Linked DNA regions of Arabidopsis thaliana. The protein of the gene in region 4 interacts with the protein of the main gene of each other region in a pairwise test. Each region holds a gene or a part of one and is shown on either strand. Other genes may lie near its edges.

Evidence for each region.
Region 1: the proteins of AT5G52420 (region 4) and AT3G59730 interact in a protein complementation assay, tested with the Arabidopsis thaliana proteins (one large-scale study listed by BioGRID).
Region 2: the proteins of AT5G52420 (region 4) and VTI1B interact in a protein complementation assay, tested with the Arabidopsis thaliana proteins (one large-scale study listed by BioGRID).
Region 3: the proteins of AT5G52420 (region 4) and AT4G36850 interact in a protein complementation assay, tested with the Arabidopsis thaliana proteins (one large-scale study listed by BioGRID).

What each region holds. Positions count from the first base shown.
Region 1 is NC_003074.8:22,063,097-22,068,518, forward strand, and holds AT3G59730 (Concanavalin A-like lectin protein kinase family protein), read right to left. Parts: upstream 2,862-5,422; 5' UTR 2,784-2,861; coding exon 1,212-2,783; downstream 1-1,211. Other genes in the region: AT3G59740 (Concanavalin A-like lectin protein kinase family protein), read right to left, coding at 3,983-5,422.
Region 2 is NC_003070.9:9,213,242-9,219,319, forward strand, and holds VTI1B (Vesicle transport v-SNARE family protein), read left to right. Parts: upstream 1-2,528; 5' UTR 2,529-2,861; coding exon 2,862-2,958; intron 2,959-3,618; coding exon 3,619-3,677; intron 3,678-3,766; coding exon 3,767-3,955; intron 3,956-4,131; coding exon 4,132-4,302; intron 4,303-4,399; coding exon 4,400-4,552; 3' UTR 4,553-4,769; downstream 4,770-6,078. Other genes in the region: AT1G26660 (Prefoldin chaperone subunit family protein), read left to right, coding at 1-86, 241-295, 453-524; AT1G26665 (Mediator complex, subunit Med10), read left to right, coding at 1,269-1,492, 1,582-1,662, 1,750-1,852, 1,936-2,025, 2,114-2,185. UniProt on the Arabidopsis thaliana protein: Together with either SYP41 or SYP61, required for membrane fusion; the fusion of phospholipid vesicles containing SYP41 or SYP61 and VTI12 is triggered by YKT61 and YKT62.
Region 3 is NC_003075.7:17,351,872-17,358,056, reverse strand, and holds AT4G36850 (PQ-loop repeat family protein / transmembrane family protein), read left to right. Parts: upstream 1-2,019; 5' UTR 2,020-2,234; coding exon 2,235-2,461; intron 2,462-2,550; coding exon 2,551-2,593; intron 2,594-2,681; coding exon 2,682-2,708; intron 2,709-2,881; coding exon 2,882-2,980; intron 2,981-3,052; coding exon 3,053-3,165; intron 3,166-3,491; coding exon 3,492-3,681; intron 3,682-3,770; coding exon 3,771-3,872; intron 3,873-3,959; coding exon 3,960-4,055; intron 4,056-4,150; coding exon 4,151-4,171; coding exon of another isoform or gene 4,172-4,186; exon of another isoform or gene 4,187-4,280; coding exon 4,281-4,430; coding exon of another isoform or gene 4,431-4,493; exon of another isoform or gene 4,494-4,531; coding exon 4,532-4,642; 3' UTR 4,643-4,766; downstream 4,767-6,185. Other genes in the region: AT4G36840 (Galactose oxidase/kelch repeat superfamily protein), read right to left, coding at 5,175-5,891.
Region 4 is NC_003076.8:21,279,649-21,284,370, reverse strand, and holds AT5G52420 (uncharacterized protein), read right to left. Parts: upstream 2,599-4,722; 5' UTR 2,555-2,598; coding exon 1,826-2,554; 3' UTR 1,565-1,825; downstream 1-1,564. Other genes in the region: AT5G52430 (hydroxyproline-rich glycoprotein family protein), read left to right, coding at 58-1,278.

The DNA.
Region 1 (5,422 bases), on a different chromosome or scaffold from region 4:
TGTAGATGATTTGATATTCACGGGTAACAATCCAAGCATGTTCGAAGAATTCAAGAAAGAGATGACGAAGGAGTTCGAGATGACGGACATTGGATTGATGTCTTACTATCTCGGAATTGAAGTAAAACAAGAAGACAATGGAATATTCATAACTCAAGAAGGCTATGCTAAGGAGGTACTTAAGAAGTTCAAGATGGATGACTCAAATCCCGTTTGTACACCAATGGAATGCGGAATCAAACTATCAAAGAAAGAAGAAGGGGAAGGAGTGGATCCAACTAACCTTTAAGAGCTTGGTTGGAAGCTTGAGATACTTAACATGCACAAGGCCCGATATTTTATATGCGGTCGGAGTTGTTAGTCGTTACATGGAGCATCCAACAACAACTCATTTCAAAGCGGCAAAAAGGATTCTTCGCTATATCAAAGGTACCGTAAACTTTGGCTTACATTATTCAACTACTAGTGATTACAAGCTTGTTGTATGCCATGCTATTTGGTTAAGAAACCTCTTGAAAGAGTTAAGCTTACCACAAGAGGAACCAACGAAGATCTTTGTGGACAACAAGTCGGCAATAGCTTTGGCGAAGAACCCGGTCTTCCATGATCGAAGTAAACACATTGACACACGCTATCACTACATTAGAGAGTGTGTTAGCAAGAAGGACGTGCAATTAGAGTATGTGAAGACACATGATCAAGTAGCCGATATTTTTACCAAGCCTCTCAAGCGTGAAGACTTTATCAAGATGAGGAGTTTGCTTGGAGTAGCAAAATCAAGTTTAAGAGGGGGTGTTGAAAGTTAAACTTGATTTTGAATCAAGTTTAATTATTGGATCAATTATCCAATAATTAATTATGGCCAAATCCAAGTTCTAGAGTTTTCTCTAGAAATATCATCATTTCCACCTCCTTAAAGGATTCTAGAAATTTTCTAGAATCATCTTCCACCTCCTTAAACATAAAAATCTAGATACTCTAATAGAATAATCTAGATAATTTGAATAATGTAATCTAGATCTTATGTAAGAACTCTCTAGACTTAGGATTAAAATATTTTAGATATTTTGTAGTTTGGAGGCTATAAATACCTCCTCCCCCTCTCAAATGTTGTAATGTTGTGAAGTTGTATTCAAGTTTAAAGCAAAGTAATAAAAGTTCTATTTCCTAAAAAACTCTCTCAAAACACTTAAACACTTTCTCCATTACCTCTAAAAGAATTTTACTCTAACAGCTCTTCCTGTTCTTAGAAACTCTGGTGCGATATACCCGAATGTTCCTGCAACTCTCGATGTCTGAGGATCAAATCCCTGATCATACAGCTTCGCCAGTCCGAAATCCCCGAGCCTCGCATTCATGTCGTGGTCGATTAGAACATTAGCCGGTTTGATATCTCTATGAATGATGACTTGAACCCATTCTTGATGCAGGTGGAGTAGAGCAGATGCAACGTCTTTGATGATCTTGAAACGTTGTTCCCAAGTGAGCCGTTCTTGATTCTCATTCGTGTTGCTACGGTTTAAATACTTGTCAAGGCTTCCATTAGGCATAAAATCATAAACTAAGTAGAGATTCTCTTTATGCTTACAATATCCCAAAAGCCTGACTAGATTTGGATGTCTGAGACGACCAATGGTCGATATCTCGGCTAGAAACTCGCTCATCCCCTGTCTTGAATCATGAGAAGTCCGTTTGACAGCGATCTCTGCATCGGAACCCGGAAGTGTTCCTTTGTAGACTTGACCAAAGCCTCCTTTCCCAAGAAGTTGTTTCTCTTTGAAACCCTTTGTGGCATTGAAAAGCTCCTTATAAGAAAACCTATGAGGTCCACATTGAATCTCCCATTCCTCAAGAACCTCCTTAACCTTCTTATGCCTCAAATAGAAGACGAAACCGATTCCTGAGGCGAGAAACACAGCAAACAAGGCCAGCGTTAAGCAGACCGCCAAAACCGTCCTTAATCTGTCAGACGGTTTCTTCGGATATGGAGGAAGGGTGGGGACTCTTCCGAACTCCAACGGTTGATAGACTGCTTCAGGATATGTGTACACCAGCACCATATAATGGAGCGCTCTAATGGATCCCGTAGATGCTGTGAAGCCAATATGCATGTGTTTCAAAACATACTGCGAGAGATCTCGGTTTAATGACAAAAGTGGTTTGCGTGGCGGAACAAGAAACTCAGCAGGGCATAAGGTAACATCGAGCTTTGTATCCGGATGACTATAAACGATCGAAAGCCGCATTAACTTTCCGCTGATCAAAGAAAGATTTTTGAAACTTCCATCATTATCATCATAGTAACCAGCAGAAGCAGAGGCAACAGATCTCAAGCCATTAATGTTAATCCCAACATGGTTATCATCAATATCTTCAAACTCTTCGTCTTTATGTATATCTAACTCTATAGCTATCACGTGATTCGAAGTTTTACCGTTGTTTGTTTTGTTGAATAATCCGAGGTACTGATCGGAGGAAGCTCCGGGAAGGCCTCTTGTAGGAGAAAAAGCGAAAGTCATACCGTGAGAGCCTTGCTGCTTATGCTCAGGGACAATAGCGAAGAAGAAGTTGATGGAGAAAGACTGGTCCTTCATTTCAAATGTTGTGTTGTCAAAAGCTTGACCGTAGGAATGCTTCGTGGTGTTCGTTAAAACCAAGTAACTATTTTCGTTGAAAACTGCAGATCCATCCAGGATATATGTGCCATGGGAGTTGTAAGTAAATGAAAACAGAGTAAGCCACTGAACAAGAACTATTTGTAAGACTTTGACTTCACTAAACATGTTCTTGTTCGTTTTTTTTTTTTGGCTTATGGGAAGGTTTTGATCGTAATGTGATATTTATCAGAAGAATTATGTAAGAAGATACAACATAAAAATAAGTAAAACTGTATGAATATGATCAAGCCAATATAATGTGAACGAAACTGGTCATGTCATAAACATATGTAGTTTGTATTTAATTACCCACATGGCCTAGATGATCAAACCGCAACACAATAAACAAATAATCTTCTGATCATTTTTCAATTAATAATAGCAATTATTGTGGGATTGTCAGAGTGTAGAAGCGGACCCATGTTAGGTTTGCAAACCTATTTTACTACTGAAATTTTGCTATATTGGTTATGAGATTATGACATCCTATTTGCTTTTTGTATTTTTTTTCTTCTTTTTACAAAACATTATTGTTAATTATTCTCTTGAATCTCTTCTTATCGTTCCATTAATGTGTTGATTAGTCTTAGGACTTAAACTATTGTTATTGTTGCTGTTTACCTATTGCTGTTAATTATTTATCTAATGAATATTCATGTTATATGCGGCCAACGAACTAAGATAAGTAAGCAAACTTAAGAGAGAAAAAACACATGTACACTATTTAGTAATTACGCACTGTGCATGGCCAAGATAAAGTCGTAAATCAATTATAAGAAAACAAATCTTCTAATTCTTGCTAAGATTAAATAGCGATTATAGTGGAAAGCATAATAAGCAATAATCAAAAAAACTTTTCTTCTCAGATCTCTACCAAAGAAATAAAAAGGTCAAAAAAGCTTCTCTTATCTTTTCTACAACCTAATCCGTCGAACATTACGGAGCGTAGAAATGGATAAACAATGTAAGTTTAACAACCAACGTGTTGACCATAAAATGTAAAAAAAATAAGTTTTTTGACATGTTTTAATGTAAAGTTTAACAGATTTTGTATTGGTCTACAGAAAAAAAAAAGTTAATTAAGTTATAAGTCATTGCTCTTGAAAATTTGGTTTTATAAACAAATTCGAACAAGATTACTTTGAAAGCAAGAATGAAACAAACATATTATAACCCTAAAAGTAAACCCTAGAAATTTAGGGATGAATTGGAAGGCATTCATGATTCAAAGATACAGAAACATGTACTCATTTATCAAATAGACGGATACAGAAGCTCCCGATGGAATATAAATGTTTGATCAAAACTAACTTATTTTTATGGTTTCAGCGTCCATGGGACACAAAAGAATTCGTCAACGTCATTGTACCAAAAGAATTCAGATCAAGACCAAGTAGTACTTCCATTGATGTCTCAGGAATTCCTCTCAATCTCTCAGCCCTAACAACATCAAGAAGATTATTGGGAAGATGCGAAACGCCATTCAAGATCTGCAAAACCGCACTCATGTTCGGTCTAATCAATTCAGTGTGATGTGCACACAACAGACCTAGCTTCAAAACAAGCTCAATTTCTCCTCTGTTTTGTTCTTGACGAATACTTTCCTCAGCTGCATCGAAAAGTTTCCCACTTTCCCAAAGCTCTAAAATCCAATCAACAAGAACCGCTTCATTTTCTGCTGCACGTCTCTCAATCAATCTTCTACCACAAACGACTTCAAGCATAACCAACCCAAAGGCGTAAACATCTGTGCTTGTGGTTGCTCTTCCTGTTCTTAAGAGCTCAGGTGCAATATAACCTAATGTTCCCGCTACTCTAGATGTCTGAGGATCAAATCCCTGATCATACAGCTTCGCCAATCCGAAATCCCCGAGCCTCGCATTCATGCCGTGGTCGAGTAGAACATTAGCCGGTTTTATATCTCGATGAACGATGACTTGTACCCATTCTTGATGCAGGTGTAGTAGAGCAGTTGCAACGTCTTTGATGATCTTGAAACGTTGTTCCCAAGTAAGCCGTTCTTGATTTTCATTCGTGTTGCTACGGGTTAGACACCTGTCAAGGCTTCCATTAGGCATAAAGTCATAAACTAAGTAGAGATTCTCTTTATGCTTACAATATCCCAAAAGCCTGACTAGATTTGGATGTCTGAGACGACCAATGGTCGATATCTCGGCTAGAAATTCGCTCATCCCTTGTCTTGAATCATGAGAAGTCCGTTTTACAGCGATCTCTGCATCGGAACCCGGAAGCATTCCTTTGTAGACTTGACCAAAGCCTCCTTTCCCAAGAAGTTGTTTCTCTTTGAAACCCTTTGTGGCATTGAAAAGCTCCTTATAAGAAAACCTATGAGGTCCATTCTGAATCTCCCATTCTTCAAGAACCTCCTTAACCTTCTTATGCCTCACATAAAAGACAAAACCTATTCCGGAAGCGACTAATGCAGTGAACACGGCCAACGTTAAGCAGACCGCTAAAATCCTCCGTGTTCTATCATACGACTTCTTTGGATATGGAGGAAGGGTTGGGATTACGCCAAGGTCCCATGCTGGATATATAACTCCTTCTTCATAGGAAAATTGCATCACATAATAGAGTGCTCCGATCGACCCGGTCGATGCCGTGAAACCCAAGTACGTCTCCTCCAAAAAATAGGGCGAGAGATCTCGGTTCAAAGACAAGAGCGATTTTTGTGGCGGAACAGAGATTTCAGCAGGTAATAAAGTAACATTGAGCTGTTTATCGGTGTGACTATAAACGATGGA
Region 2 (6,078 bases), on a different chromosome or scaffold from region 4:
ATGGATGTAGGCCTCGGCTTTTATGTGGAGTTCACACGGCAAGAAGCTCTTGACTATATAGCACAAAGGGAGGAAAGAACTCAAAAGTAAGAGAAATCTTTGCTTTTCTAGTTTTCTTGCTCCATGTACAAGGAAAATATGGTTGTATCATTGTATATGATGAATGAGTTCTCCGGTGGAATGCAGTATAGTGACTGAATGTTGATGCAATATAAATGTGGTTTTTTTTGTTTTTAACAGACAACTAGAAGAGTATACTGGTGTTATTACGCAGATCAAAGGGCGCATCAAACTGGTAAGTTCAAGTTCTTATCTTGCTTTGTGATAGTAGTCAATCATTTGTCTTATGAGGTTGAATTGGACTAGAAAATCACTATTGCGTAGGAACCCTGCATCAGACGGATATATGAAAGTGTCATCGGATAAGTATTAATGTTAAATTACCATTGCAGGCTCATTACCAGATTCAGCAAATACTCAATCTTCCTGAAGAGAATCCGTCATCCCGGCAACGTGCGTTTTAGTACACTACCTAGTGGAAAGTTGAGGATTTTCTCTTGCAGTCTTATCTTCTCGATTTGTTCTGCTTACTGTTTTGAGTTTTTAAAGCAGAGAATTAACTTAGTTTGTTCAATACTAACTCTTTCTCCGGAATGGACCAAACTGTTGGTGTTAGATAAACATATCGATTAAGCAATCAAAACTTTATAGAATGACTATTGTTGTGGGGGTGAATAGTGAATCGCACTCTGTTAAATCTGCCATTTCTATTTTAAATATTAATAATCACATGTTAGAACTTAGAAGATCATTAACAGTTTAACACAGCTGATGAAGAATGAAATAAAAGTATGAACGAAACAGATACAAGATAATGATATTCCACGTCAGCAAAGTGTCCAAATATCTTCCGCTTCCCTGTCTTCGTCGGTCCCTTTTCGGTTTTCACGGTAAGGCTCGGAGGAAAACCTAATTCGTCCGGAGAATCTCCACCTCACTCTCGCCAAACGCATCTCTGTTGTAGGTAAGTCACGGATCTTCATTCTACGCTAATTGTTATTGTTATCGTTATTCTTGATCTGGGCGTTTTTGTGGAATTTGCATCTAAAATTAGAAATTTGGATACCAAAATCCACTCCAATTGAATAAGGTTTCTGAAGAATTTTCGTTTGATTTTGAGATCGAAAATTGCGTTTTCTCGTTTTTGTTTTGTTATCGCTAACGCATCAGGTCATATATCTCAAGTTTATATTTTGTGGCAGCTTGTGATGGATCCAACACAGAACACAAGTGCAGGGATTGGTGGGAGCAATGGTACAATCAGATATCAAACCAATGATGGGACTTCAACTGTGACCGTTGCTGATGATTCAAAGGAGAATCTTTCCCAAGTCATAAACTCTATTGAGAAAACTTTAGGAGTCCTTCATCAGTTACACCTTACCGTCACTTCTTTCACACCCGCGTCTCAACTCCATCTCCTCCAGCGCCTGTAAGTAACTCCTCTACTCATCTGTGTTTATTGTTTTGGGTATTGTAACTATTGTTTGAATGAATATGTGTGTGTGTGTGTATTTGCAGTAACTCTCTTGTGATGGAGCTAGATAACATGACTAAGTTGTCTGAGAAATGCAACATTCAAATCCCCATGGAGGTTCTTAAGTGAGAAAACAAGTCCTTTTTGTTTTTAGTATGCACTTTGAAGATAGATACTTTTACTTGCTTACTTATGTTTGCGTTTTCGTATAGCTTGATTGATGATGGGAAGAACCCGGATGAGTTTACGAAAGATGTTCTTAATAGCTGCATAGCTAGAAATCAAGTTACTAAGGGCAAGACTGATGCTTTTAAGGTGACTCCTTTTCTTCTGATTCTTAATTTGTGTATGATTCTTAAGGTTACTGAGTCTCTTAATCAACATTTTGTTATAAATAGGATTTGAGAAAACATATTCTGGAGGAGCTTGAACAGAATTTCCCTGATGAAGTCGATATGTATAGAGAAATCCGTGCTAGTTCTGCTGCTGTAAGTTGTTAACTTCGACTAGTATTGTACATCTTCATTAATATATTATAGTAAGTCAAGGGGATTAAACAGTTTTGGTCATATTCAGGAAGCGAAACGGTTGGCGCAATCGCAAAGTGTGTTACCAAATGGGGATGCAAAGGTCAAGAATGAGCTATAAGAGCCCAAAGGATCCTTTTTATGTTTACCTTGTACTCTTGTAGAATATAATGACTGAGTCGATGAATGTGATGTAACACGAACAATCCCAAGTGGAATTTCTAATAATATCTGTTGGTTCTCTTCACCTGGCTAATATAGTTTGAGAATCTCTGCTTGTTCCCCCCATTTTTACTCGAGTGGACTATCTTACTCTTAGCCTCTGAGATCTCTTTGATTTCATGAGACTATCAAAGAATCCCACATAGTTACGCAAAACAGATTCGACTTCTATCAATGGATTTGTCTATTTCCTGGACGAGTAATCTTGGTTCTGCATAAAATGTACACTATTTCCGAGAGCTGAAAAAGTGAGAAAAGACACTTAGATTTCAATCTTAATTAACGGTTTGATTCGGTTTGGTTTGTCTCACCTACATTTGCATCGATTGCAGCATGGGGGACTTAATACGCAGTGGCTGACACGTGTCAATATAAAACGCACCGCTTTGTTTGATTGTTCCTCCTTGTCCCCGAGCAGAGAAATACAAAGGAAGAAGAAGAAGAGTTGTTTGATTATCTTTAAGCAAAGAGGAAACTGTTTTGCTTCTAGATCCGATCCAATCCAATCAAACAAAGGATCCGATTGATCAGAAAAAATCCACCAAATTTCTCAAGATCGAAACATATAATTGAAGATGAGCGACGTATTTGAAGGGTACGAGCGTCAATACTGCGAGCTCTCAACCAATCTCTCTAGAAAATGTCACTCTGCATCGGTTCTCTCCAACGGAGGTAAAATCCAGACGCTCCCGATTTCGGATCTTGAACGCGAGATCTTCGAATTTACCTGATTTTAGAAATTCGAATCTTCGAATTTGGGGTTATTGGAGCTTTTGAGCTGTGACAAGTAGCTGGTGGACTAGTGTTCTTTACTAATCGTCCTGACTTGTTTAGGATCTGACGAAGTTTTGTAACATTTAGGAATGTTGAGACATAGGATCTGTTTCTCATTGCTTGGATTAGAAGACGATAACCTAGTTAGGTCTAGATAGTTATGTAGTTGCATAGATTTATTAACTTGTTTCTCAATCTATTTCATCTAATTTTGTCCGAATTTGGGGGTATTTGTAAAGTAGAGGTGCATGAGTGTTTACTAATCGTTTTAGCTTGTTTACGATCTGACGAGTTCTGTAGTATCTGGGAATGTAATTTACTTGGATTGGTCAAGTAGTTTTGTGAAGAAATTAAGACTGAAGATAAGATCATAAGAACCTAGTTATGTAGCTGCAGAGGTTTATTGAGTTGGTGTTTTTTTTCATTTGTTTGTCAGTCTATGGTTACCACTGTCTTTCTTGGAGTTATAGTACATAGACATGCATGGAGTTGTTACATTTTGTGGTGCCATAGAACCAGAGTAGAGGTTTGATTAGATATTGTTGTGTGCTTTTATAGAGGAGAAGAAGGGGAAGATTGCTGAGATCAAGTCTGGAATAGACGAAGCTGATGTCTTGGTATTTGCATTTAACTTGCTTTAATGTTGTTACCGTTCTGTTCTTTCTTTTTTAAAATTAATATATATGCTTCTGTGGTTTTTTTGTAGATCCGGAAAATGGATCTTGAGGCAAGAAGTTTGCAGCCGAGTGCTAAAGCTGTGTGTCTTTCTAAACTAAGAGAGTATAAATCTGATCTGAACCAATTGAAGAAGGAATTCAAACGAGTCTCTTCCGCAGATGCTAAGCCGTCTTCCCGTGAAGAGTTGATGGAATCCGGAATGGCGGATCTGCATGCAGTAAGCTTCTAACTCCTAAATAGAAACTCTTGTTTTCTCATTATCTTAGTTGTCTTAATTGACTTGCATCAGTTAGGCTTCTTTGTCCTGAGGGGACCCTCCTTTATATTCATCTTCACACAAACTTTTAGATGGCAAAGACTTTGCTGTGATTTACATTATTGTCCATGTTCCAGGTATCTGCTGATCAAAGAGGAAGATTGGCAATGTCCGTGGAGAGGCTTGACCAATCAAGTGACAGAATCAGGGAGAGTAGAAGACTAATGCTGGAGACAGAAGAGGTTGGCATCTCAATTGTCCAAGATTTGAGTCAGCAACGCCAAACCCTCCTTCATGCGCACAACAAGGTACCGTCTACAATTGCTCGGTTTGGTATCTATCAGTGCCAATGATTTGTTTGAATTAGATCATTGAGAAGCTAACTTTTCTGATTTTGAATCACAGCTTCATGGTGTGGATGACGCCATTGACAAGAGCAAGAAGGTGTTGACGGCTATGTCAAGGAGAATGACTAGGAACAAATGGATCATTACATCGGTAATCGTGGCTCTCGTTCTCGCCATCATCTTGATCATCTCATACAAGCTTTCTCATTAATATACTCAAAAAACATTATTCATCGTGATTGTGTATATATATATGATGGTTGATTTACTTTGTAATGGCCCAAGTGGTTACTTGTATTTTTAAGTACGATGTTTGTATTGAAGTGGCAACACTTTTAACATTCATAAGGTTTCCCAAGTCTTTTCTTTTTTGTCTTTTTTTCCAAAAAAGTGGTACTATTTTATATAAAGCAGATGTTTCAAAAGTTACAACTGTGGAAACTTCCACTTACATCTCAAGTCCAACCTTTGAAAACTTACAACAATGTAATTCCAAAAAGAACAAACACTCCATTGCTCAAAACATAAGGTTTTCCAAGTCTTTACATGAGCCAAAGATCTATACTTATAATGTTTTAAGAAAACTAGGACACCTGACACATCCTTGCCGGACCAATCATCTTGCCGTGATCACCAGTCGCAGGCAGGAGACCCACTGTCACGTCAGAGCATGAAACAAAGGCCTCTCCTTCTATCTCTCTATTTAAAATAACATCAAACATTCACGACACCAAAAAATACACACAAGCCAAACATAACAAGTAAAACTATCCCCGAAACAAATAGTTTTATGCAGTCCCGGCCCGTCCATAACGCAGCTAGAGCATGTGTTTCTGTCGTGAATTATGTTTTCTATGATCTCAGCCCCTGTTATGTTTTAAACCACACGTTCTGGTCTTCAAACTCGTTAACCCATTCCACCCTATAAATCCCTTCTTCGTAAGCAGGGATAGATTGACGAGTGATTGAAAATAATCTTTAATGATCAAGAATTTCCTCCCATTCGCCGGAAATAATTCACTTAACCACCAAATGAAAGAGTTTTGAGATTAATTAATCTACTCTTTAAAATTTTAGGCATATACACTTGATTGATGTGATGACAAAATGATTTGAGTACTAATCAAGTACAATCACTACAAAAAAAATGTGTGTTTTTACATCATTTATTTTATATATTTTTATTAGTTATAAACTTATAATTGATGGCAAGAAAAACATTTACATCACTAAAAAAAGTGACTTTTGAAAGTAGTGATGCAAATATTTTGTATCGATTCTTGTAAATCGATCTTAACATATATCAATTACAAAAAATAATGTTAAAATTCGCATCATTTAATTTAAATGATGTTAATATTTGTAACATATATAATAATTTATGCATGCCAATATTTCTATTACTTGTAAACAATTGATGTTAAATTAGTTATCAGTTTTCATAATTGATTCAAATAATTGTGTGATTTGAAATAATTAATTTCTACATTAATTTAAAACATTGTAATTTCATAATTAATTTGTAGATACTAGTGCATTGAAAAGAAGCGAAAAAAGACGTCAGCAGTCTATAAGATGGATTAGCTTCATCTCCAAGGCATATAAACCCATTCGTGTCAATCACAAGTCACACCTTACAATTTCAAAAAAAGTTTCTGAAACTTGGTCTTTTGTGCTATCATTTTGATTCTTGTGCTAAGATTCTTCACGAAGATCAACAACTCTAAAAAGAAGAGG
Region 3 (6,185 bases), on a different chromosome or scaffold from region 4:
CATTGTGAAAAAATACACTCCATGCTCTCTATCTTTCTATCGTTTGTAAAATGATATTTTGTTGATCAAAACTACTATGGTCTACAAGATCGTGTAAAACAACATTCAAGTAACTTAGTATTATGGGAAGATGAGTTCTCTCGATCGAGATGTTCAGTCAATTCTCTAGAGTATAAAAAACGAAAACGTCTCAAGTCAATTGTCAATCATTAATTTCCAAATATAAATATTAGACATTATCAACAAATGATGATAAAGAGATACAAAAAACATTGTGAAGATGTGGGATATGAGGATAAACATAGAGAGATAGGATGATATATTCACACGTGTTTCCCACTTCCTCATCCAACTTGTCGCGGCGCCTCGTCGCCGTTTCTTTCTTCTCTCTTTGGTTTTTTTTTCTAAAACATTTTCTCTATCAAGCGTTTATGTTTCAACAAATTTTATTTAAGCTAATGTTTTTTCTTATAACCAAATCAAAATTTTATTCATCGATATAGAAATTAATGGTTTTTTGCTAATATTGAAATCTAATTTTAAAGTATATATTAAAAAGTTTTTGTTAAAAAAAAATGAGGATACTCATGTTGGAGAGGGAGAGCAAACGGATTCTTGATGTTTTTACGATCGATTAAAGTGAAGACGTTTTAGTGGACATGATATATTTCTTTGGTATGACATATTTTAAAAGTCACCTCTAAGAATTCAATTTTTTCTAGATATTATCGTCATTCGTCAACATTATATCGTATGATGTTAACAAAATTAATGGTTGGTAGAGTACTCGTCATTTAGAATTAGGGCTAATGAATTGATCGTTCATAATGTCTTGTCGAGGGCAAAAACGACGTAACGTGACAAAACGTATTAACCTTTGTTTCTTTTTCTTTTTTTTTTGTTATTTCAGAATTCATGAACCAGAGAATTTCATTAATCCACTAGCTAATCTTGAAATTATTCTATTGCCTTTTGAAAAAGTTGTAAAGTATAATTTGAAGGTTGCAAAATTTTAATTTTGGTTTTTAGTGTTTGAGAAACAAATCAAAACTGCAACATTATATACAGAACTATCTTCCCTTTTTTTTTTAACTAACTTGAAATTTATGCAAAACAGTTCACCAAGGTGTCATTAAAAGATGTCATTAAATTCGAAAGTCGGTTCATGAAAGATGTCGTCATCATCGTAACATGATGCCACCACGCAGTCAGCACTAAGCAGGCTATTTGGCTTTGGCACCTTCATTCAAAAATAAAATAAATTTTAAATTCCTGGTTCAGTAAAAATGTGGACCGTTGTTTTGGGGGCAGCCAATCGCACGAATATGGTGGCTACGCCACAAAGTTACAAATGTACAACTTTGTCGGGCTTTTCCAGATTCATTAACATCAATAGGCAAGTAAACTACAAAATGCAAGTTGCTTAATCAATAATGTTGTAAAGCTTTTACAGCATCTTTTATACCATAAAATGTCAACATCATGGAGTTTACTCCAATTAAGTTCTCGTACACTTTGATTTGAATAATCAGTACAAAACATAACCAAACCGGATTAGATGTGGTTTTAACTATTGCATACATTTTCGGCCAATGGATTAGGATTACTGAAAGAACATTAAAAACATATATGTATGACGACGAAAACAATTTCTTAGGGCTTAGGTTATATATATTTCGCAGAAATGTATACCAAAATGTTGGAGAATCGTGAAAAAGAATATACCTAATAAACCGTACTAAAAAGGCTGAACATCTGAGATTCAGCAGAGCATCAAAAGATAAAAGAGAATATGCTCATTAATCATAGGTCGACTGTTTTCTCCACCCTCCAACTTTAATTTTTGAAATCTCTTGTTTTTATGTGCCCTTGATAATTATTAATCACCTTAACATTAACAACTTGTTAATGCTTGTTAATCCAAAAGTAAAGCAATCAAAGAACTATATTATAAGATTAATAATGTAATGATTCGAAACATTACAATAAAGTATAACGTAACAAGCTTAGATATGGTGGGTAAAATATACGAAGTAAAATAAATGGTCCCAAGTATATGAATGAATACATGTATTTACAGATATCTCTCTCCCCTATCTCCTTATGATTTGTCATTTTCCTCACCCATAATCCTATAAAATAATCAAGAACCTCCGAGGGAGAGAGACATACACACAGACAGAGTAAGACATATATAACATATATAGAGAGAGAAGACCTAAACAAAGAGACATATGGTGTCTTTAGGTTACTGCTTGAAGGAGAAGAAGACATGCGTGAGATGGGTAGAGATATACTTCGATGACTGTCTCTGTAACTTAAACGACGACGTTTCATTCGCACTTGGAATCGCTAGCCTCCTCTGTTGGGGAGTCGCAGAGATTCCTCAGGTCATCACTAACTTCCGTACAAAGTCAAGTAACGGTGTCTCTCTCTCCTTCCTCCTCGCTTGGGTCGCCGGGTCCGTACACCATCTCAAGTTCTTCTTTGTTATCATAATCTCTCTCTTTCCCTAACGTTATTTTATATGAATTTTATCAATCGGTGCAGTGATATCTTCAATCTCGTCGGTTGTCTTCTTGAACCAGCTACTGTAAGATACACAAAACATCTATAGTACATAATTATTTTCATGTCTTATTATTGTTTTCTCATTGTTTATCTTATTTTGAATTGTGTAGTTGCCGACTCAGTTCTACACAGCCTTGGTAACATCACCGTCTTCTCGCCGCATAAATAAACATATGTCGCTACAAAGCTTACGTGTCGCTTCTATTAAAATTAGCGTCAATTGTTCGGATTTATTTATTTTATTCGACCGCTTTATTTTATTCTATTTACAAATCAGCCCCGTAACTATTTTTTTTTCCTCTCTCTATAGCTTTACACAGTGAGCACTGTAGTATTGGTGATCCAGACTATTTACTACGATTACATCTACAAACTTTGTAGACATAGACGTACCAAGATTTGTCAAAAGGTAATAATTATAAGAGTTGATTACATTTTTAGGTGTTGATTATCATAATGAGGGTTTTTTTTTTTTGTTAAGGATGAGGAAGATGAAGAGAAGAGACCATTGAAACCACCAAAGACGATGGGATCTGCTATTTCCATCCCAGGAGGATCTTACAAAGATTCTTCTCGGAGAGAGTTCTATTACACGTACGGATTATTAAACATAAATCATATTTTATTTACTCTAATTTGTCTACAAATAAGTTAAAGTTTGTGACAAAAGCTTCGTATATTTTATTATTATATGCTTTCCCCTGCATACTCTGTTTTTTCTTGTCGTTTTCTCAAGCTTTTGAAGAAACAGAGGGAAAGGGTAACGATTTTTTTCATAAAATAATTACATAATTGCTGATAAAATCTCGAACCTATCCTTTAGCTTTCTCAATTTTCTTATATCATAGAATATATATGTCCGCTCTCTATATTCAATTGTGACAACTGACAAGTGGTTTTGCGGGGGGCTATTTGTTCAGGTCGGCGAGATCGTTGGCCGGAAGTGGCACACCTCCCTTAAGAACATCGTATTTTCGAGTGGCTAAGAGTGGCCCTTCGGCTCTGGCAATCGACAATGATGGTTCGTCATCGGACGAAGATGAGACAATGTCGACGTGTCCTGTCATAACGGCTAAAACCATTACAAAACCAAGGCCAATACCTAGACAGGTTTGTAATTTCTTTTTAACTTAGCCAACTTAAAATCACTTTAAGCTAAGAGAACAAATATTGACCCATTTTGGACTTCTTTTTCTCAGGCAGGTTTTGGAACGTTTTTGGCTGCATCGGCTAGTCTTCCGCTTCAGGCAAAGAGCTTAGCGGAAAAATATGCACATGCTTCAAGCAGACGGCTTCTAAACGTGTGTGACACATATAGCATTTTGTTGTTTTAAAGGTATGAGTGAAATGCGAGAAAATGATATCAAAACATTGTTGTCTTTGTGCAGGAAAGAATAGTAGAGCATAGCGCGTTGGGACAATGGTTGGGATGGCTAATGGCCGCCATTTACATGGGCGGTCGCATTCCTCAGATTTGGCTCAACGTAAGCCATCTTTAGCAAATCTTGATTTACTTCTTCTTGGCTTCTTGTTTATGATATTGGATACTAATCTTTTTTTTTTTTTTCTCTACAACTAGATCAAAAGAGGAAGCGTCGAGGTAAAAAAAAACTAAAACTACAAGTCAACCAACAGATATTCCCTTATGTATACTTTAAATGTTATTGTGGTATGCGATCTAACAAACAGTATGTTTTGATATTTGGCAGGGTTTGAATCCACTGATGTTCATCTTCGCGCTAGTAGCCAATGCAACATATGTTGGTAGTATTCTTGTCCGAACAACTGAATGGGACAACATCAAACCAAACCTTCCTTGGTTGCTTGATGCTATTGTCTGCGTCGTACTAGATCTATTTGTATCCTTTTCTAACCATTTGCACAGTCTCAACGTGGAAAACAAGTTATCTTATTGCCATTAGGTTGAGCTTTGCTACCTTAATTCGAAAAATCAAAACAGATAATACTGCAGTATATCTACTACAAGTATTGCAGGATAAAGAGCTTGGAAAGCAGAGAAGAAGACGCCTATGGAGACTATGTGGAAGCAAGCAAAACTTTTGTTTCGTGAATCACTATTTATGTTACAAGGATAATTTGATTTTCTTTTGATCTTAAGTATTATTGATTTCATAGTGTATGCATATAAAACCTAATTATTATATGTTCACTAAAACTGCTTTCTGTTTCCTCAAAATCTATACGCAACAAAAGCAGCATTTTCCTTCCACACAAAAACCTGGTCACCAAGATTCTCCTTGGGTGTGATCCTTATAGGAGGAGTCCAAGATTAGTTTTCTGCAGCTCCTACACACTCATGAGCAGCTGAAGCATCATGCATGCTGCTATAGCAGTTGAGGATGCACAAGCATAGAGAGGCTTAGCTTCTAGAAGGGTCAAGATACGTTGGTTTTACCTGTTATGTTGGTAACGAGTCATTAATGAGAATTCAGCATCAAATTCCACCACATACCTCTTAAAAGAAAGAGGCTCTAACTGTTATGTTGTTACTGTTAAATGATTAATTGCCTACTATATGCTTATATCCCACAATCTGATTCGTTGAGTAATATGCAATACAAATAAATATTGGAATGAATATATCACAAATGGACAGAAGCAGAAAATAAGACATCAACGCTATATGAGTTTGAGAGAGGATCAAGTTTGAAGACAACATTGGACCACTCAATCTTCCCCCAAATCTCACCTCCCTCGCGCCTCTCCATGGAAATCTCGGCAGACCAAAGCTCCACACACTCAGGGTCTCCAATATGTGCGTTCCCGAAGATGACAATGTTCCCAGCAGAGTTACTAGAGATTTTTCTAATATCATATTTGACGTTGGTCTTTGACGGTCGTTTATCAGAGGTACGTCTGAAGATGTATCTTGTACCAGAGAGATACAATTGTAGCTGTTCCAAACCTTTTACCTCTTTCCAGTCCAACTCATCTGGTTGGCACCATAGTATTCTACCGCGAGTAGCACGACAGTATAGTAATTTCCCAATGACACACCAATCGTGTCTACTTCCTACCTTAGAATCTTTTTTTCCGCTTTTCCAGATTCTACCTTCACTTGGCAAGAAGCTAAAGCTTTGGTCCTCCTCATCCACGGCGTAAACCTTCTTCTCCTCTATCACCACACTTTGGTTGATACTATGGGCCATCTTCGGCGTATTAAATATACCCCAAGTTTGGTAAACTGGATCGAATACCTCCGCCCAGTTTGAGGAATCAGCGTCCTCTGGGCACCCTCCAAAAACGTAGATCTTCCCGTCTATGAGGCTTGCCGATGCGGAAGCACGAGCCATCTTCATAGACGGGACGCGGTGCCATGTCTGAGAAAAACAGTTGAGGAACAAGACATCGGAAGTGGGATTGCCGTTTATGATTCCACCGATTACATAACATAGATCCCCCAATTCACTACCACAAAAGAAGATGATTCCGGAGCCTGATAGGGGTGCGATGGGACCGGCCTCAGTCGACGACTACCCGTAAGGACGAACCAGCGAGGGGTTGGATCAGGTAAGATGCGCAAGCAGACGAAGAAAGATGGCTCAGTGCAACCAATCAGCGATCGCGTGCTGCAGAGCTCAGGGGATGTTACG
Region 4 (4,722 bases):
CAGTTCTCTCTAAAGGGGATCAAGATGAGTCTAATTTTGTGTGTTTAATTTGTACAGAAGGGAAGATGGGGAAAATGTTGGAGTTTATATTCATGTTTTGGAACTCAGAAGAACAATAAAAGGATTGGTAATGCTGTGCTTGTACCTGAACCGGTTACATCTGGAGTTCCGGTAGTTACTGTTCAAAACTCAGCTACTTCAACTACTGTTGTTCTTCCCTTTATAGCTCCTCCTTCATCTCCAGCTTCGTTTTTGCAATCGGATCCTTCATCGGTTTCTCACTCGCCTGTTGGTCCACTTTCTCTTACTAGCAATACATTCTCGCCTAAGGAGCCTCAATCTGTCTTTACCGTTGGACCTTATGCTAATGAAACTCAACCAGTCACTCCTCCGGTGTTCTCTGCGTTTATAACTGAGCCATCTACTGCACCGTATACTCCACCTCCTGAATCATCAGTCCATATAACTACACCTTCTTCACCTGAAGTGCCCTTTGCTCAGTTGCTTACTTCTTCGTTGGAGCTAACTCGGAGGGATAGTACTAGTGGGATGAATCAAAAGTTTTCGTCTTCGCACTATGAGTTTCGGTCTAATCAGGTGTGTCCGGGGAGTCCTGGTGGTGGTAATCTAATCTCTCCCGGGTCAGTGATTTCAAACTCTGGTACATCTTCTCCTTACCCTGGTAAATCACCCATGGTTGAGTTTCGAATAGGCGAGCCTCCAAAGTTCTTGGGTTTTGAGCACTTTACAGCTCGTAAATGGGGATCGAGGTTCGGTTCTGGATCGATCACACCTGTTGGGCATGGTTCAGGTTTGGCTTCAGGCGCTCTGACACCAAATGGTCCAGAGATAGTATCTGGAAACTTAACACCCAACAATACCACATGGCCTCTTCAAAATCAGATCTCTGAGGTCGCTTCACTGGCAAATTCGGATCATGGCTCTGAAGTCATGGTAGCAGATCACAGAGTTTCGTTTGAGTTAACAGGTGAAGACGTTGCACGTTGTCTTGCAAGCAAGCTAAATCGATCACACGACAGAATGAACAACAATGACCGGATCGAAACAGAGGAGAGTTCATCAACAGACATAAGAAGAAACATAGAGAAAAGGTCAGGAGACAGAGAGAACGAACAGCATAGAATTCAGAAGCTGAGTTCCTCATCGATTGGATCTAGCAAAGAATTTAAATTCGACAACACGAAAGACGAGAATATCGAGAAGGTTGCAGGAAACAGCTGGAGTTTCTTCCCGGGGTTACGATCTGGAGTCAGCTAACCAAATTAAAATGACATCTCTTCTTCTTCTTCCTCATTACCAAAGACAGAGATATAAAACCCTATAAGTAACAAACCTTGAACATGGATCGTGAAAAAAGGTAAGAGATTTGGGTTCTAACAACTTATACACACTGAATAAATAAGCTTAAAGCTTTGATTTGCAGTTAACTTCTGTACTCATGTAGTTGGAAACTTTGGAATATTCTTGGATCAGCTCCTACATCTAATCTTGTTACATTGATATAAATTGTTTATTTCTTGTTTTACTGTTTCATACAAATATATTGTTTGAACTGAGATCGTGAATGGTCTTATTCTATATCATTACTAAAACATTTTCATTTCTGTTCTTTCAGAAACATAGATTCGGTTATTATCGTAAGAAATCTAATACAACTGTGAACTACTACATAAACTGAATTGTTCAAAAGAAAACATCGAAATAATATACAGAACAAAAAGGGAAAACAACAAGAGCTGTGAACCACAAAGGAATTAAACCGGGTTTTGACTCTCCTTATTGGAACCGGAACTAAACCGGGATTTCAATCCTCCTTATCAGAACCGTAATACCTCTTAAACGCTCTGGGTAGATAAACCGGAATCAAAACACCAAAGAGATTAAACGACCAAATCCCTAAATTAGCCGCCGCCAAAACTTTCCCGGCATACATCCGCCGCGCAGAAACCGTCCCCGTCACATCCTCCCTCGAGAACTCACTCATAATCCACTCCACAAGAGTCAAAACCCTCCTGGCGTTGTAAACAATCGGAACAAGAATCCTCGCCGGAGCAGAGAAGCCAAACATGGTCGCTAATCCTTCCATAAAAATCTGACTCGCTAAAAGAAACACGTGCGGTGCAGCTGCGCTAACACCGTTCTTATCATCCTCAACGATTCCTTCGAAGATGTAACAGATCGGAATGATAAGCCCGACGATCCCCGCCGCTGTAACATAGATACGGAAGATTTTGTTTGTGGAGCTTGTGAGAGGAGCGTCACGGTTTGGATTGTTGTGTGGTGGGAAGATAAGTTTCGAGAGGAAGAAGAAGTAGATGAGAGTGAGGATCGTGAATATGAAATCTTGGATTGTTACGAGACCACTTGCGGAGAGAACGATGATTATTGCGAGGATGTTTAGTTGTCGGAATGAGAAGAATCCGGCGGGTTTTCCGGTGGATGATACTGTTGAGGTGGATTGGGTTTGATGTTCTTCTTCTTCTTCTTTGGGTAAGGTTATGTCGTTGTACGTTGGACCGACACCTCCAGACATCGTTTTGGTGTAAGTTTTTTTTTTTTGTTTTCTCGGGAAAATGTGGTGAGAAAGTTTTAGAGGTGGAGGAAGATAAAAAGAGTGTGAAGAAGGGGACACGTGGCGGATAGTGAAGAGTTTTGAATGGAAGAGGTTTAGAAGACGTGGCGGATTATTGTTGTGCTCACAATTAGTTTAGATTTTATTATTTTAACTACATGCAGGTAATTTCGTAAAAGTTCTTAAGAAACATATAAATATATGTGTTAATAGGAAGCCTAATTATTTTGGCTTTCTGGACGTAAGTGCACTAGGCTTTGTAGTTATAGATTTCAATTATAAGCTTCAATGATTACTAGTTATAAAAAATGATATAATTAGTTAGCAGGAAATGAATCCGGAACCATAAACTGTAGAATTGATTTAACTAAAAAGGAACTAATTACTAGAAATCGTATGAAACAAGGCATTGTAGATTACTAGACTTGTAGTAGAATATGGAATATTGTAGATATTCTACAAGAAGAGCTTAGATCATGGGTGAGAATACTTGGTTGTAGAAACAACTTTAAATTCGACCTCCAATGTCAAAGTGTCATTGTCCAAGTAATTACACTCCCGATGGCTATAGCCGCAAAATCTTCGCAACCCCACCCTTGAGTTGATTTCTTGTAACAGACGTTAACTGCAAGAAAAATAAATATATGTAAGGTATTGAAAATTTAGTTAAGACTTGAAAAAAGCAACTAAGTGATTTATTCAAGAATATAGAAAATTGTGTTTCAAAGTTAATTATACGTTTCTGTGTGACGTGATTGTTGTATACATGTGGACGTGGGTATAATACTCGGAGATCTGCATGCACGTAAATCTTCTCATCCTCCGAAAAGGTTTCACTATCAGCTATATATATGCAGAAATAAGGACAACCATTTGCCATCTGCCTCTCTTCCCTTTGGATACATCTTCAAACACCTATAGAAAAGTCACATTATTTTGTATACACTTAGCATACATAGACGTGTATATATATTCAATGACTTATTAGCCTCACCATTCTCTTCCTCCAACTGAAAAGTTGTTTGACACATAAAGATTCTCTGTCAATAAGGAGAAACCATTGGCACTCCAGGAGAATGTGGATGGTGAGAGTTTCTGATCAAAAGACATCACTTCCCAATTGGTAAGGGGTGGAACAACCATCACTTCAACACCAAACTCGCATTTTTGCCCGTCGAATATATATCCATTTTTTGGATTTTCGAATAAGTGGAGAGGAAGCATTTGAGAGAATCCCCATACCATTCTTAAAGCATTGAAACGCTTTACTTCAGTATCTATTAGAAAAAATGGAGTAATTCAACGTGACATATGTGACAAATGAACAAGTCTTATATAGTTAATATAAATATTGAATAATATAGATATGTTTTAAACCAACAACTTTGAATAGTAAAGTACATTTGTTCTTTCTTATTGTAGACGAAGAACTTGACATATGCAAAAACTTCAGATGTGCTGTCTATTTCTACGTACATTGAAATATAACCACTTCCATGGTCCTCGTCGTTCCCTTTTGGATATATAATCAATTTCCTGCAGGTTTTCTTTTTAACAGAAATATTATTGCATAAAGTAAGAAAGATTCATGTTCTTTTCTTATGATGAAGATTTAATTTAACCCTTCAGGAGCTAATGTGTACATAGTAAAATCATGGTCTATATGTGTTACATGTCTCATAAAACATAAATGGTAATATATAAGAGCAAGATTATAGCTACATACCAGTAATACCCGCCTACCGTGAAACGACGAGATTGGTATTTTTCATTGTTAAGTTGTGCGAGATTCTCAATCTTGACAGAATAGCAAGAAGGCGAGGATGTTCCGTGAAACTGCTCGCAATCGTAGAAGTTGGATTTGAGCATGTCGTTTCACCGTATGATAACGTTGTTGCATTCGAAATTGTGTTACCCATTCTTCATGAACCTTATTGGAAAGCAGAAAGAATGTTGCCAGATAGCGTTACATATAGAGAACACAAAATCTCTTATGATATCGTTTTTCAACTTTTAATGTGATTTAATCAAAGATTCATCTTTATCACTTCGTGATATCTTAGCTAATATTTATTTTATTGTTTTGAATTCAACATAGAAATCTCATCATCTCTACCTTTTTTTAATCA